Linked DNA regions of Xenopus tropicalis. The protein of the gene in region 2 interacts with the protein of the main gene of each other region in a pairwise test. Links are inferred from orthologs where the notes say so. Each region holds a gene or a part of one and is shown on either strand. Other genes may lie near its edges.

The links. The genes of interacting proteins can lie anywhere in the genome.
Region 1: the proteins of tk1 (region 2) and gapdh interact in a two-hybrid assay, tested with the Homo sapiens proteins (2 studies listed by BioGRID and IntAct). The link is inferred for Xenopus tropicalis from reciprocal best matches to the Homo sapiens genes TK1 and GAPDH.
Region 3: the proteins of tk1 (region 2) and rbm48 interact in a two-hybrid assay, tested with the Homo sapiens proteins (2 studies listed by BioGRID and IntAct). The link is inferred for Xenopus tropicalis from reciprocal best matches to the Homo sapiens genes TK1 and RBM48.

The regions. Positions count from the first base shown.
Region 1 is NC_030683.2:10,006,097-10,010,378, reverse strand, and holds the start of gapdh (glyceraldehyde-3-phosphate dehydrogenase), read right to left. Parts: upstream 2,865-4,282; 5' UTR 2,817-2,864; intron 1,679-2,816; coding exon of another isoform or gene 1,582-1,678; coding exon 1,579-1,581; intron 1,500-1,578; coding exon 1,393-1,499; intron 1,292-1,392; coding exon 1,201-1,291; intron 1,110-1,200; coding exon 994-1,109; intron 358-993; coding exon 276-357; intron 1-275. UniProt on the Homo sapiens protein: Has both glyceraldehyde-3-phosphate dehydrogenase and nitrosylase activities, thereby playing a role in glycolysis and nuclear functions, respectively.
Region 2 is NC_030686.2:26,185,812-26,189,937, reverse strand, and holds the start of tk1 (thymidine kinase, cytosolic), read right to left. Parts: upstream 2,806-4,126; 5' UTR 2,788-2,805; coding exon 2,722-2,787; intron 633-2,721; coding exon 601-632; intron 213-600; coding exon 99-212; intron 1-98. UniProt on the Homo sapiens protein: Cell-cycle-regulated enzyme of importance in nucleotide metabolism. Catalyzes the first enzymatic step in the salvage pathway converting thymidine into thymidine monophosphate.
Region 3 is NC_030682.2:31,762,881-31,766,960, reverse strand, and holds the start of rbm48 (RNA-binding protein 48), read left to right. Parts: upstream 1-1,216; 5' UTR 1,217-1,331; coding exon 1,332-1,442; intron 1,443-4,080. Other genes in the region: pex1 (peroxisome biogenesis factor 1), read right to left, coding at 879-989. UniProt on the Homo sapiens protein: As a component of the minor spliceosome, involved in the splicing of U12-type introns in pre-mRNAs.

The DNA.
Region 1 (4,282 bases), on a different chromosome or scaffold from region 2:
AATCCTATGATCCCAGGGGGCGGCCCTTAATTCATAAAATGGCAGTTTTTAGTTTAGGATTACCCAGTAGCACATACTACAAAAAAGTAAGTTAAGTTATGAAAACTTGCACAAAGCAGGGTTTTTATGTACAAGCTTGTTCACACTATTTTTAGAGAGACCTACATTGTTTGGGGGGGGTATAATTTCCATTAAGGTCACTCATACAGGGTGAGGGGGGAGACAGTTTGCTTTAGGCTCTATGTCCCAAGCTGAATAAGCCCCACTGCACTTACCATCAGTCCCTCCAGGATGCCAAAGTTGTCATTGATGACCTTTGCAAGAGGAGCCAGGCAGTTGGTTGTGCAGGATGCGTTGCTGCGGGCAAAGCAGGGGAAAAGGTAAACTAAGCATCACTCCCTTATTCCATCAGAGTAAAGAGGCCAGCCCATATAGGGAGGACACATTACTGCTTGTATTTGGGGCAAGGCCCTGTAAAGGCAGGCCCAGGGCTGGGAAGGCAGAGCCACTTTGCCAGTTGAAGCTAGCCAGCTTATGTAGAACAGTAATTGCCTGTGAGACTTACAGCATTAACATTCCTGAGCTAAAGAAAGTGGCAGAGAATGGGCAGCCTACATCAATGCCTGCCTACAGAGGCCTAAGCACTAGCCAATTACTGAGAGGTTCCATCAAGTACAGAATGGTTTGGCCAAGCAGCAAACCTAGAACAGGCTGCAATTTTATTATGGGCAGTAGAGGGAGCCCCTGCCTGATCAGTATTTGTATAGACAAATATCCTGATAAAAAAAGGTTTAAGGATTTACAGCCTTCAGGCTTAGAGTTTTACATGGTTGTTATAGTAAACAAGCCCTTATTAGATTACAGAAGCTGCAAACCATGAGCTATTGAGAACTAAAGAGTTAACCCAGTAATACAGAAGCTTGCAGACAGCCTGTAGCATTGTGGTAGTTCGCTCCCCCTTTAAAGGAACGCCCATTTTTACCCCACACTTACCTGACAACGTGAAGAGAGTTATCATATTTGTCATGGTTCACCCCAACAACAAACATGGGGGCATCAGCTGAGGGGGCAGAGATAATGACACGCTTGGCACCTCCCTTCAAGTGCAACTGCAGGTAAAAATTAAAAAAAAAAAAGTCCAGGGTGAATTCTAGATATAGAAAGCCAAATGTTATGGGGGGGGGGGGTGTAACTACTTACACCGGCCTTCTCTTTGGTTGTGAAGACTCCAGTAGATTCCACCACATACACTGCACCAGCATCGCCCCACTTAATGTTGGAGGGGTCACGCCTGGGGAGAGGAGAGAACTGTAAACATCCCCCCTGTGATTAGATTCTGCTGCAGGAACCCAGTCTAGAACCAGGCCAGGACTGAGCCACAACCTCACTTACTCTTGGAAGACGGTGACTGCCTTGCCATTGATAACCAGCTTGCCATTCTCAACACACACTGTTCCCTTGAATCGGCCGTGGGTGGAGTCATATTTGAACATGTAAGCCTGCGGAGAGTGGGAGGGGTTAATTCCCGAGCATTTTATACTCCAGAACACAAAAATGCAGATGAACGGAGCCACCTACCATGTAGTCCAAGTCAATGAAGGGGTCATTGATTGCAACGACTTCACATTTGCCGCTTAAAACAGCAGCGCGGGTCACCAGGCGCCCGATGCGGCCAAATCTTAAAAAGAAAAAATGATTTCTATCGTTAGATGTTTATGCGCTTAACCCCTTGTGCCACTGGCAAGCAGTAAGAAGATAAAGCCTTGCATCATAAGTGATGCGACGTCACAGCTAGATGTTAAAGGGGAAGTTTAGCCAATGCACTGAAACCACAATGCAACAGCTTAGTCCTTTGATCCCTATATGTTAAACTACAATTCCCATAACCCTCCATAGAATCAAGGCATGCTGGTTCCCCTCATTGGTTGGCTTGGGGAACCCCCAAGCCAACCAATGTTTGTCCACAGTGCACTGGCAATTGCCGACTCTTGCTGGGCAGTGTTGCCTGGTGCAATTGGTTGATCAGCATAGAAGTAATGGGGTGCACTGCTACCCCCTCTTTTTAAGCAGTTAGGGTGGGAAGGGCACCCTACATAGCTGTCATTATAGTGAATAGCAATAAACAGGGGCCAGTTACATAGAGAATACAGAGACCTAGATCAAATGGATCCCACTATTCTAAATGGCACAAGGGGGGGGCACATGATTTAGGCAATCTGTCACTAAGAAATATGCAAACTTAATGTACTTTGGTTTACTTGCCCTTTAAAAAAAAGGTCTGTGCCGCCATTAGCACAACACCTGCTGACACAGAAATCTCCACTGACCCAGACTCAGTTGAGCCAGCCTGGGGGGGGGGGGGCAGTTTATCCAAGCACTGCTCACGCAGCACAACCTGAATAATGGCTGTTATTACAAGCAATAATCAGTCTGCCTGCCACTGCCCTGTTATTACAGGCAATAATCACACAGCCTGCCTGTTGCGACTCCTGACACTGCCCTGCATGCTTCGAGGCACAATACGAGTGACTGGCTGCACATTCAGGGCTGAACTTTGCTCGGGGTGAAGTTCAACAGTGAAGTTCAGCGACGCGTAATGAGGACAAACAGGAGGGTGTGTAGTAAGGCTGAGAGATGAGTGGCCAGAGTGACGGGAGCAGCCTCCATTGTGGGGCAGTACTGGATCCGAGTCCTGGCAGAGACGTGCAGGGCAGAATGATAATGTCCCTGGCGTGGGTTACAGCAGCTGGCATCAACACCTCTATTAATAGGAGCCCTACTTAGCCATGCCAGGGGGGGGCATCTTAGTGTCCCACTTTAATGAGAGAAGTCTCTAGAAGGTTCACGAGAGCCCAGTCAGACTCTGTGCTGTGAGGATTATGGTCACTAACCAGAATAAAACAGCCAGGGGACTGTGCCTACGTGCGGCTGCCACCAGGGAGCAGGACGTGACTCAGCTTCCCCACACTTGTGCAATTACTCCTTATTCTGCAGCAGCGAGGGGAGGGGATTCACCCAAGGTGCCGTGCATCAGCCCCCCAGGTACAGCTCATCAATAGGACACTGACAGTGCAAGGGTGACCCTGGCCCAGGATACACTGTGACCTTGGGGTTGTCCTTGAGAGACATCAGCAGCCAGACACTGGGGACACCCCCATGCGCATTACTGTACCCCCCTCCTGGCAGAAGGTGGAGCAATGGGGAGCCGCAGCGGATGGAGAGGAGGGGTTGGGGTGTGAGGTGGGGAGCAGTGACTCAGTGGGACGTGAGGAAGCTTCACACTCCGCATGGTTCTGGCAGGGGAGGGGTTAAGGAGCAGCAGCCATTTTGAAAGAATAATCGGCCTGGACCATTAACCATTTATGAAAGGTCTGTAGCTTCATTACTTATAACCCCTCAACTGCCAGAGCCAAGGGGCATCTTACACTGGCCAATCGCTAAACCGTGCAGAGAACACTATCCCATCGGCCTTTAATCTGCCAAGCCATTAACCCCCCCCCAGCTGTTTGTCTGGGTCCATTACCCCCTTATACCCCAGCATCTCCCCCCACTCACCTGCATATTACCCCCTTAAGCCCCAGCACCCACCCCCAATGAAGTTATTAACCCCTTAACTTACCCATTGATTCCAATCTTGACAGTCATTTTGGTGTCACTTGGTTTAGTTATCAACCCCTAAAGGCAAGAAAGGAAATTAGTGGGGGGGGGGGGAACAAGAGGAGGGTACCCCGTGCCCAAGTCACTCTCCATCCCATCTATTGGGCACATCCACCCACCCCTCTGTGCCCCCAACAACCTACCTTTAATATTAACCCCCACACCACTGCACCTTGAATTGGTCCCCCTGCAGCTAAATCCCACCCAAAGGCACCCATATAGCCCATACCCACCCACTAGAGGGCAGGAAGTGCCCCATTTCACCCAGTGTCCAACCCAAATCATTAATACACAGACTCCTGATTACCCAAGGTTCCCACTTCCCTATATCTACCAGAACCCCATTACTCATCCCACCCTAAAGCCTCCCCAATCTAAGCACAGGCAGCCCTTACACCATCCCATCCTTAGCCACTAATACAGTAACCCCATTACTCACAAACACACTACATTGGAAAAGTACCAGTAGCACAGAACTACAACTCCCATCACTGTCAGTTGACACCGACATTAGTACCTTTAGCAACTGCAAACGAAACCCCCTAGGAGAGCATATAGTAGGAGCTATACCCAAGCCTACCCTGCCGAGCCACACCCCCAACCTAGGCTCCACTCCTCCCGCACT
Region 2 (4,126 bases):
AAATCAGTAAATACAAATGTACCACAACCAATGATATGCGATATTTCTATATGTAGATAAGATGAGCTTAACAATACAGAATGTGTAAAATTGCTTACTGGTCATGTGTAGCAAGATGCTCTTTGCTGTAGCGTGTATCTTTCGCATACTTTATAAGCATGCACTTGTACTGTGCAATCTGAAACCGTCGCACTCTGCGCATCAGCTCTGTGCTGTAAAATATACAGAAAATTTGTTCAGCAGAATAGGAAAATAAGCAGTCTCATGCGATGACATACAGCAGTTAAAGGACAATAAACATACTTTTTTAAAAAGGCTTACTATAATACATACTGCAGCACTCTAAAAATGGATGCAATGTGAGCAAATACCAAACAGCACCACCATCCATTCAAAAAAAAAAAAAAAAAAAAAAAAAAAAAAGAAGAATTGTCCCAACGCAGACCAAGACTGATTCCCCTACTGCCCTCCTTCCAAAGCACTTTAGCCCATTGGAAGTAGCGTGCCCCATTGCCATAGCAACACACTGTTCTCAATAAGGAACATCTAGATTACAGCTCATGAGAGAGAATATAGAATTGCGCGGTCCTTTGAACTCACCTTTTTCCAGAAAACATTGGCCCAAATATCACCTAAAAGTAAAAACAAATGGGTTTGAAATACAAATTAACACACAAACCAACTATAGCAGTCATGGTATATACACTTTCATTTGATGGACATGTATACTTTTTAACATCTTTTATCATTAACCATGTAGCTAATTTGAGCATTTTGTGTTCTTTGGGGCATTTTGTCTTTTAGTTTACATATTGAAACTGCCCATTGCTTTGTTAGGACAACCTTAACATTCTCAGAGTCTTTGTGCAACTCCACTTCTGTAACATGATAAAAATAATTTCTATACAATACAGAAGTATATATCAGAAGCATTTTATATTTCACTGATCTGGAAGGCCCCATGTCTCCCGAATGAGCCAATACCAGAATTCTGACTTGTACAGGTCATAAATTCCAAACATAAGCAGGTTTTCAAAGCAGTGCAGCAGAAATCAGCATACAATTGCATGGCCAAATAATTTCCAGTGGTAGCAATGCTTTGCTAAAGTGGATTTCTAATAAATTTTAGTAAAAACTAACTCAAACCTCTCTGTATTTTATCTTCAAAATGTGATAAAGGTACCATTGTATGGCACTATAAATAGGACGGGTCTTCTGGCCCTGTATCCATACAAAGGTTCGCCAAAGACCGTGAAATGTAAAGGCCCCAAAATGAAAATAATAAATAAAATAGTCATGGCAGTCTCTTCAACTACTTCAAAATTAGCACACAGACCAGATTTTTACAATACTGCTTGTTTCCTAGGGGCTGGAGAACAAAGGAGCAGCATAAACGCCGCTCTCCTCCCCACCTGTGAGTGCGGCAGAATGTAGAATCTATGTTGTGGAATGTAGAACCTTTTATCTACAGAATGTGTATTCAGTCAAACCTTTGTTCAAAACACAATTCTGCATTCCATCCTTTGCCAGCATTAGTATTCTATTTATAGATAAACTCTGTAAGAATGCATATGATATATACCCAATCCCAACTACTACAACAGTGATCCCCAACCAGTGACTCCTGAGCAACATGTCACTCCCCACCCCCTTGGATGTTGCTCCCAGTGGTCTCAAAGCAGGTGCTCATTTTTGAATGTCTGGCTTGGAGGCAAGTTTTGGAATCACAGAGACACAGTTTTACTTCAAGCAGAGCCTCCTGCAGGCTAGCAGCCCACATGGGGCTATCGAATAGCCAATCACAGCCCTTATTTGGCAACCCCAAAAACCTTTTTCATGCCTGTGTGGCCCACCAACACTTTTTACAGCAGAGTGTGGCTCACAAGCAAAAAAAGGTTGGGGATCCCTGTACTAAGACACTGGGAATAGTCTTTGCCAACACTTTATGGGGCTCACATACAAAAGAAAGTGAATTCATTGTGTGCCATAAACCCCCCTAGAAAATAACCCTGAATATCAGGCTCAGACTGCCAATCTGCAGATTTTGGTACATGCCACAAACAGTCACTATTTCTGGAGCCTGTCCCTGGCTGTTTAGGCCTCTGTGTGCTTGAAATAGCAGGTTCTGTTTTGAATCCCAGCCCCTATGATGCCATATGTGCCACTACCCTAAAAACCAGAATTCTTAGCAGTCTTTCCACTTACTGCTAGAATTATTTGGCACACACCATAAGCTTCAAGGGCAGGGATATATTTTGTTTTGTTCTTTCCAGGCACCAGAGTGCAACCCCTAAGGCTGCCACATTTGGTACATGCCCTTGGGTACTTATATAAAAATGATAACCCCACTAATAAGGAACAAAGTCCCTGCCCTGTACAGTTGCACTTAAATATATACTTAACCCAAATGTAAGTCTATATACAAGATGTATGTCTGGGAGCTGCATGATGCAGTGTGTTGTGCCTCACAGCCCTTGGTGTATAATACTGAGGGCAAATATAATCTATACATGCACCTGAGCCCACTATTAATACACGTTCCCTTTAGGGGGCCTCTCATAAAGATGTGTTAGGCTAGATACAACACAAAAACTCCCTTGCAGCTGTCATATAACAAGAGTGCTCAGCCAGTTTCTCCTAGAACTACAAATCACTTCACTTCATGACAAGTCATCTGGAGAGTAAACTGCATGGCTAAATGTAATGCTGTGCCCGGCTTACCTGGATCTGGCCCCGGGATTTGCTGGGCGAGCCTGGCATGATTTCGGGTACGTTGAGGCAATTCATATCGGTACCAGGCGAGAGCAGAGCGCGGGAATGACTGTGTCCGGTACAGTCACTTCTTTCAATACAACGTCTGTGCATTCTCCCGCGCAGCTCTGTCCAATCACAGGCGGCGATGGTGTACGCTAGCCAATGGGATTCTACAGCCCCCGCTGTTATGAAGATGAGGAAGGAGGGGATTCAGCTTTCACTGGTTGGCCTGGTGTTTGGCAAACGAGTTGGAGGTGGCGGGAAAAGAAAATTAAATAAACATGAATTTGTAACTAGTGGGACCCTGTAATGTAAATGTTCTTTTCCAGTTAGCGAGGGAGTATGCAAGGGTCAGTTGCATATAATATGAAGGAAAGCTTGCGGAACGCTTCAATGAAATCTACCGCTGATACCGCAGCGAAATCCTGTTGTGGGTTGTGGCACTTGTTAGAACGATGGCTGACGCGTTTTGGCACTAGTATTACGCTTAGCCTGTATGTTTAAAGAAGTGCTTCACAATTTTAATAAAATCACCCCCCCCAACTCTGTCCCTTTTGCCAAAGTAAGAATTTTTGCAATAGAAGAAAATACATTTTTAAAAAAAAAAAAAATTGTGCCAATAGCAGATATTTATTTTCAGAGAGAGCTTTCCCAGCTAATAGGGGCTCCATGCCCCGCTAATAGGGGCTCCATGCCCCGCTAATAGGGGCTCCATGCCCAGCTAATAGGGGCTCCATGCCCCGCTAATAGGGGCTCCATGCCTAGCTAATAGGGGCTCCATGCCTAGCTAATAGGGGCTCCATGCCCCGCTAATAGGGGCTCCATGCCCAGCTAATAGGGGCTCCATGCCCCGCTAATAGGGGCTCCATGCCCCGCTAATAGGGGCTCCATGCCCAGCTAATAGGGGCTCCATGCCCAGCTAATAGGGGCTCCATGCCCAGCTAATACGAGCTCCATGCCCAGCTAATAGGGGCTCCATGCCCAGCTAATAGGGGCTCCATGCCCAGCTAATAGGGGCTCCATGCCCCGCTAATAGGGGCTCCATGCCCCGCTAATAGGGGCTCCATGCCCAGCTAATAGGGGCTCCATGCCCCGCTGAAGGTCTCTGACTTTCTCCTTTGTCATATTACCTGCTATTACTGCTACTGCCCAGTTTCTCACTACTTTGTTTGTATAGTATTAATCAGATTGTCAGGAAGTATAATATCATACCTCCCAACATTTGAAAAATGAAAAGAGGGACAAAAAGATTTGGCACGCGCAGCACGGCAATTTTTGACCACGCCCCCTTTTGTGGCCACGCCCCAATTACCACATCCCATTTTTAAAAAAATAACCCCTTTTATATAGATCAAATGGCGGGCGCAGACGA
Region 3 (4,080 bases), on a different chromosome or scaffold from region 2:
CCACAGCCACAGTCCCTTCCCAGAGGCTATTATCCCACTGCTACTATAGGCACCATCTCTCCCTACTATACCTGCTATCCCACAGCCACAGTCCCTTCCCAGAGGCTATTATCCCACTGCTACTATAGGCACCATCTCTCCCTACTATACCTGCTATCCCATAGCCACAGTCCCTTCCCAGAGGCTATTATCCCCCCACTGCTACTATAGGCACCATCTCTCCCTACTATACCTGCTATCCCACAGCCCCAGTCCCTTCCCAGAGGCTATTATCCCCCACTGCTACTATAGGCACCATCTCTCCCTACTATACCTGCTATCCCACAGCCACAGTCCCTTCCCAGAGGCTATTATCCCACTGCTACTATAGGCACCATCTCTCCCTACTATACCTGCTATCCCACAGCCACAGTCCCTTCCCAGAGGCTATTATCCCACTGCTACTATAGGCACCATCTCTCCCTACTATACCTGCTATCCCATAGCCACAGTCCCTTCCCAGAGGCTATTATCCCCCCACTGCTACTATAGGCACCATCTCTCCCTACTATACCTGCTATCCCACAGCCCCAGTCCCTTCCCAGAGGCTATTATCCCCCCACTGCTACTATAGGCACCATCTCTCCCTACTATACCTGCTATCCCACAGCCCCAGTCCCTTCCCAGAGGCTATTATCCCAGTTGATATTATTAATCCTTTTCTGACACCTACACAAATACACCTCATGTCATGTTACTAAACTCCCTCCTGCTTTCCATGTAGAATCACCTGAGAATCCCAAAGCCCTGGTTAGTGCCCGGACAGGGCCATTACAGGCATCATATTAAAATAAACAAGTGCTGCCCATCACGGACAGACGGGCCCCGGTTAGAGTTACCTGCTCCAGGCGTAATTGTGCGAGCACCTCAGGTGTCACACGCAAAAATGTGTCCTTAGCACTTGTGAGTTTCAGGGACACAGCAGCCCCGGGCGGTCCCGGACCTAGCATCCTACTGTGGCGTACCCACAGCAACCCCCTTCACTCCAGCGCTGTGTATGACGAACGTGCAAGTAACAGAACTTCCATCGCTAACGTTATCAGCTCCTTCATGCCTACTGGGTAACTTCCGCGCTGTTTCACCTTTGACAATCGAGGAAATCCCACTCACCCTGTGTCTGCTGACGTATAGTACCTCCCGCCCAATCAGAGAATGGCGTGCTCTAATGACGCCTGTGTGCGGGGCAGTCCTTCCGCCTATTGGTTCTGCTGCCTTTCCGCCTATTGGTTCTGTGTCCCGGCCTGTGTTTGGTACAGGGAGAGAGGGAACTATTTCTTAGACAGCAGAAGCCGATGGCAGAAAGCGCAGCAGTGCAAGTGCAGGCCTACGCACACCATGAGCAGCGAAAGATATGCGCCTCACGGGCCAAGTACCGCGAAGGACGGAGGCCCAGAGCAGTCAAAGTGCGTGAAACATTTACAGTTTTTGTTTTGGTTTTTATACGTCCACACAACTAGTATTCCAGCGTATTCTTGCGGTGGGACTGAGCGCCAGTGCCGCTCTAGCAGGTTTCCCTTCGTAGAAATTGCTCCCTAGAGTTATCACTGAGTTACAGCTTCCATAAGAATGTTAGCTCTTCTATATTCATGTGGTTTTAATTGGGCACTGTGTGGGAACTGGTAATGATTTCTGTTTCTACATAGGAGCATATTGTTCCACTGAAGGAAAAAATGCTGCCTTTTTATCTGCACCCACTGATAGGGGAATAGTGTGGGAGAGGGATTAGAGTTCTAGTTCACCATTTGGAGGCAGTAGGTTTCATTATAAACTATGGGCTATTTCCCATGATTGTAATTATAGATGTCACAGACCCAGTGGCTGCAACTGATAAGGCTAAATATATGTTTATGAATAAAAAGATAATTTTGTGGTTGGGCCCAGTGGTCTCTAGTTACACCAGCAGTCATGTATACTGCAAGCCAGTGGGGTACCACAACAATTTCAATTTAGGGCCCAAAAAATATTTGTATGTTAACCTATTCTACCAAGATACATTGACATTTCTCATCAATTAGGGTCTTATTGGGCCACTTCCATTCCTGGGCCACTTCCATTCCTGGGCCACTTCCATTCCTGGGCCCCCTTCCAACTGCAGGGTCTGCCCTAGCACACACTCCAGTTTCCCTTTCCTTGCCCTGTAACATTACATCATTTCACTCTGCACACATTCTCATACAACCAGCACACTTAACATGTCTGCATATAAAAAAAACACACACAAACTGATACTATTTTCTTTTAATTTCATAAAGAAGAGTATAATGCACTCAGTTACTGGGTTCACGTTAAACTGAGGGGTATATTTAAAAAAAAAAAAAAAGTTTAAATTTGACGCTTACCAAGATTGACTTGTAAGGGTCTGTTTTAAGCTTTCCATATCATGTGACAAATGTAAGATGCTGATGTGCATTTAAATTTTAAATGTTTGAGAAATAAAAAAAATTATATTTTGACCAAAAACTGAAAATGTGCCTCATCTCAGTTTTGTGCCTGTAGCCCTCGGCTATTGCACCCAGTCAGATTTATTCATATAATGCCAGAGATTCTCAGCTGGATTGAGGTCAGGCCTGTGACAGAGCCATTTGATCACTGGGATCACTGTTCTACTGAAAGATTAATGTTTATTTTTTAGCAGCCTGGAACAGGCTTTTTTTTGGTGATATTTCACTGTATTTTGCCCCATGCCTTGAAAACAATATTCCCAGTTGCTGCGTTAATTATATAACACACAAATCTGTGGTACTAATGAAGAATCAGGCTTTTGCGCAGAGAAATCTTTAGTTTAGGACTTTAAAAACTGTTGATTCCTTGCTGAATACTTGGACAGATAACCATTTGCTTTATACAGTATGGCAAACATGGCATATACAAACAGTTGTATCACTCTGGCTTGATTAAGCCATTTTACAGATGATGCAAATAGAAAAACTTTAACGTATGTTCAAGCCAAAGAAAAGTATCCAGTGCTTTCTAGCAAGTTACTGGCTTTCCTTCAAAAGCGATACCAGTAAAATTATATAGCCATCCTCCCGCCAAGAGAGCTATATCACTGGGCTTTAAACTATTATATAAGCAGAAATGAGTTGCTGGAAAGCTGCACACCATAAGAGCAAGTTAATACCTGGGTGCCAGTGCTGAAAGCGTAGATACACAGGGTTGGAATGACAGCACACGCAGGATGTTTTTCAAGAAGAATCACAGAGGTTTAGATAAATAAATGTGAGGCTTTATTCAGTCCGACGTTTCAGTTCCTATCTGGAACTTTCATCAGGGACAGTAACATCACAGTGCAGTACAAACCTTTTTAAGCACAAAAGGGCCCTAAACCTCTGTGATTCTTCTTGAAAAACATCCTGCGTGTGCTGTCATTCCAACCCTGTCTATTATATAAGCAGATAGTCTATACTTCTTCCACCAAGGGACACAACAAATGGCTTCTGAAATTTTCTCAATTACAAATGTCTCAAGGCCTTACAGTATGCAAATAAATGTCTTCCAATGGGATCATATAAAGAAATGCATCTAAAATTCTTTTTATTGAGCCTACTACTCGCCAAAAGTCAGTCCCAAATAGGACTCTCTGGAGGCAGATTTATTTAATTGTTTCTGGACATGTCCTCATAGTAAAAAGTTTTGGGTATCAATAACTTGTTATGCCATTGATAACTTGCTAGACTATGTTCCTATGTTACCAAAATGGATTATGTTCCTATGTTACCAAAATTGACAATGTTTGGTATCCCTACCAAATACTAGACTTATTGGGGGAGTAGAAAAGTACTGTTTATCATATCTGCAGCTGCTCGTAAATATATGCTACAAGTGTGGATAGAGAAACAACCCCGTCACTGTCTTTTTTTAAAAGTAAATTTTATATATTCACCTATTATTTCACCTGTTTCACATGGATTGGCTAGAAGTCTCCCTCCAAAAAGAAAAACACACGAGATGAAGAAAGAAACAAATGGCAATCAGTTTTAAAATGTTTTAAGAACAATTATTTTAAAACAAGGTTACTGATCCACCAGTAGTGCTATAGAT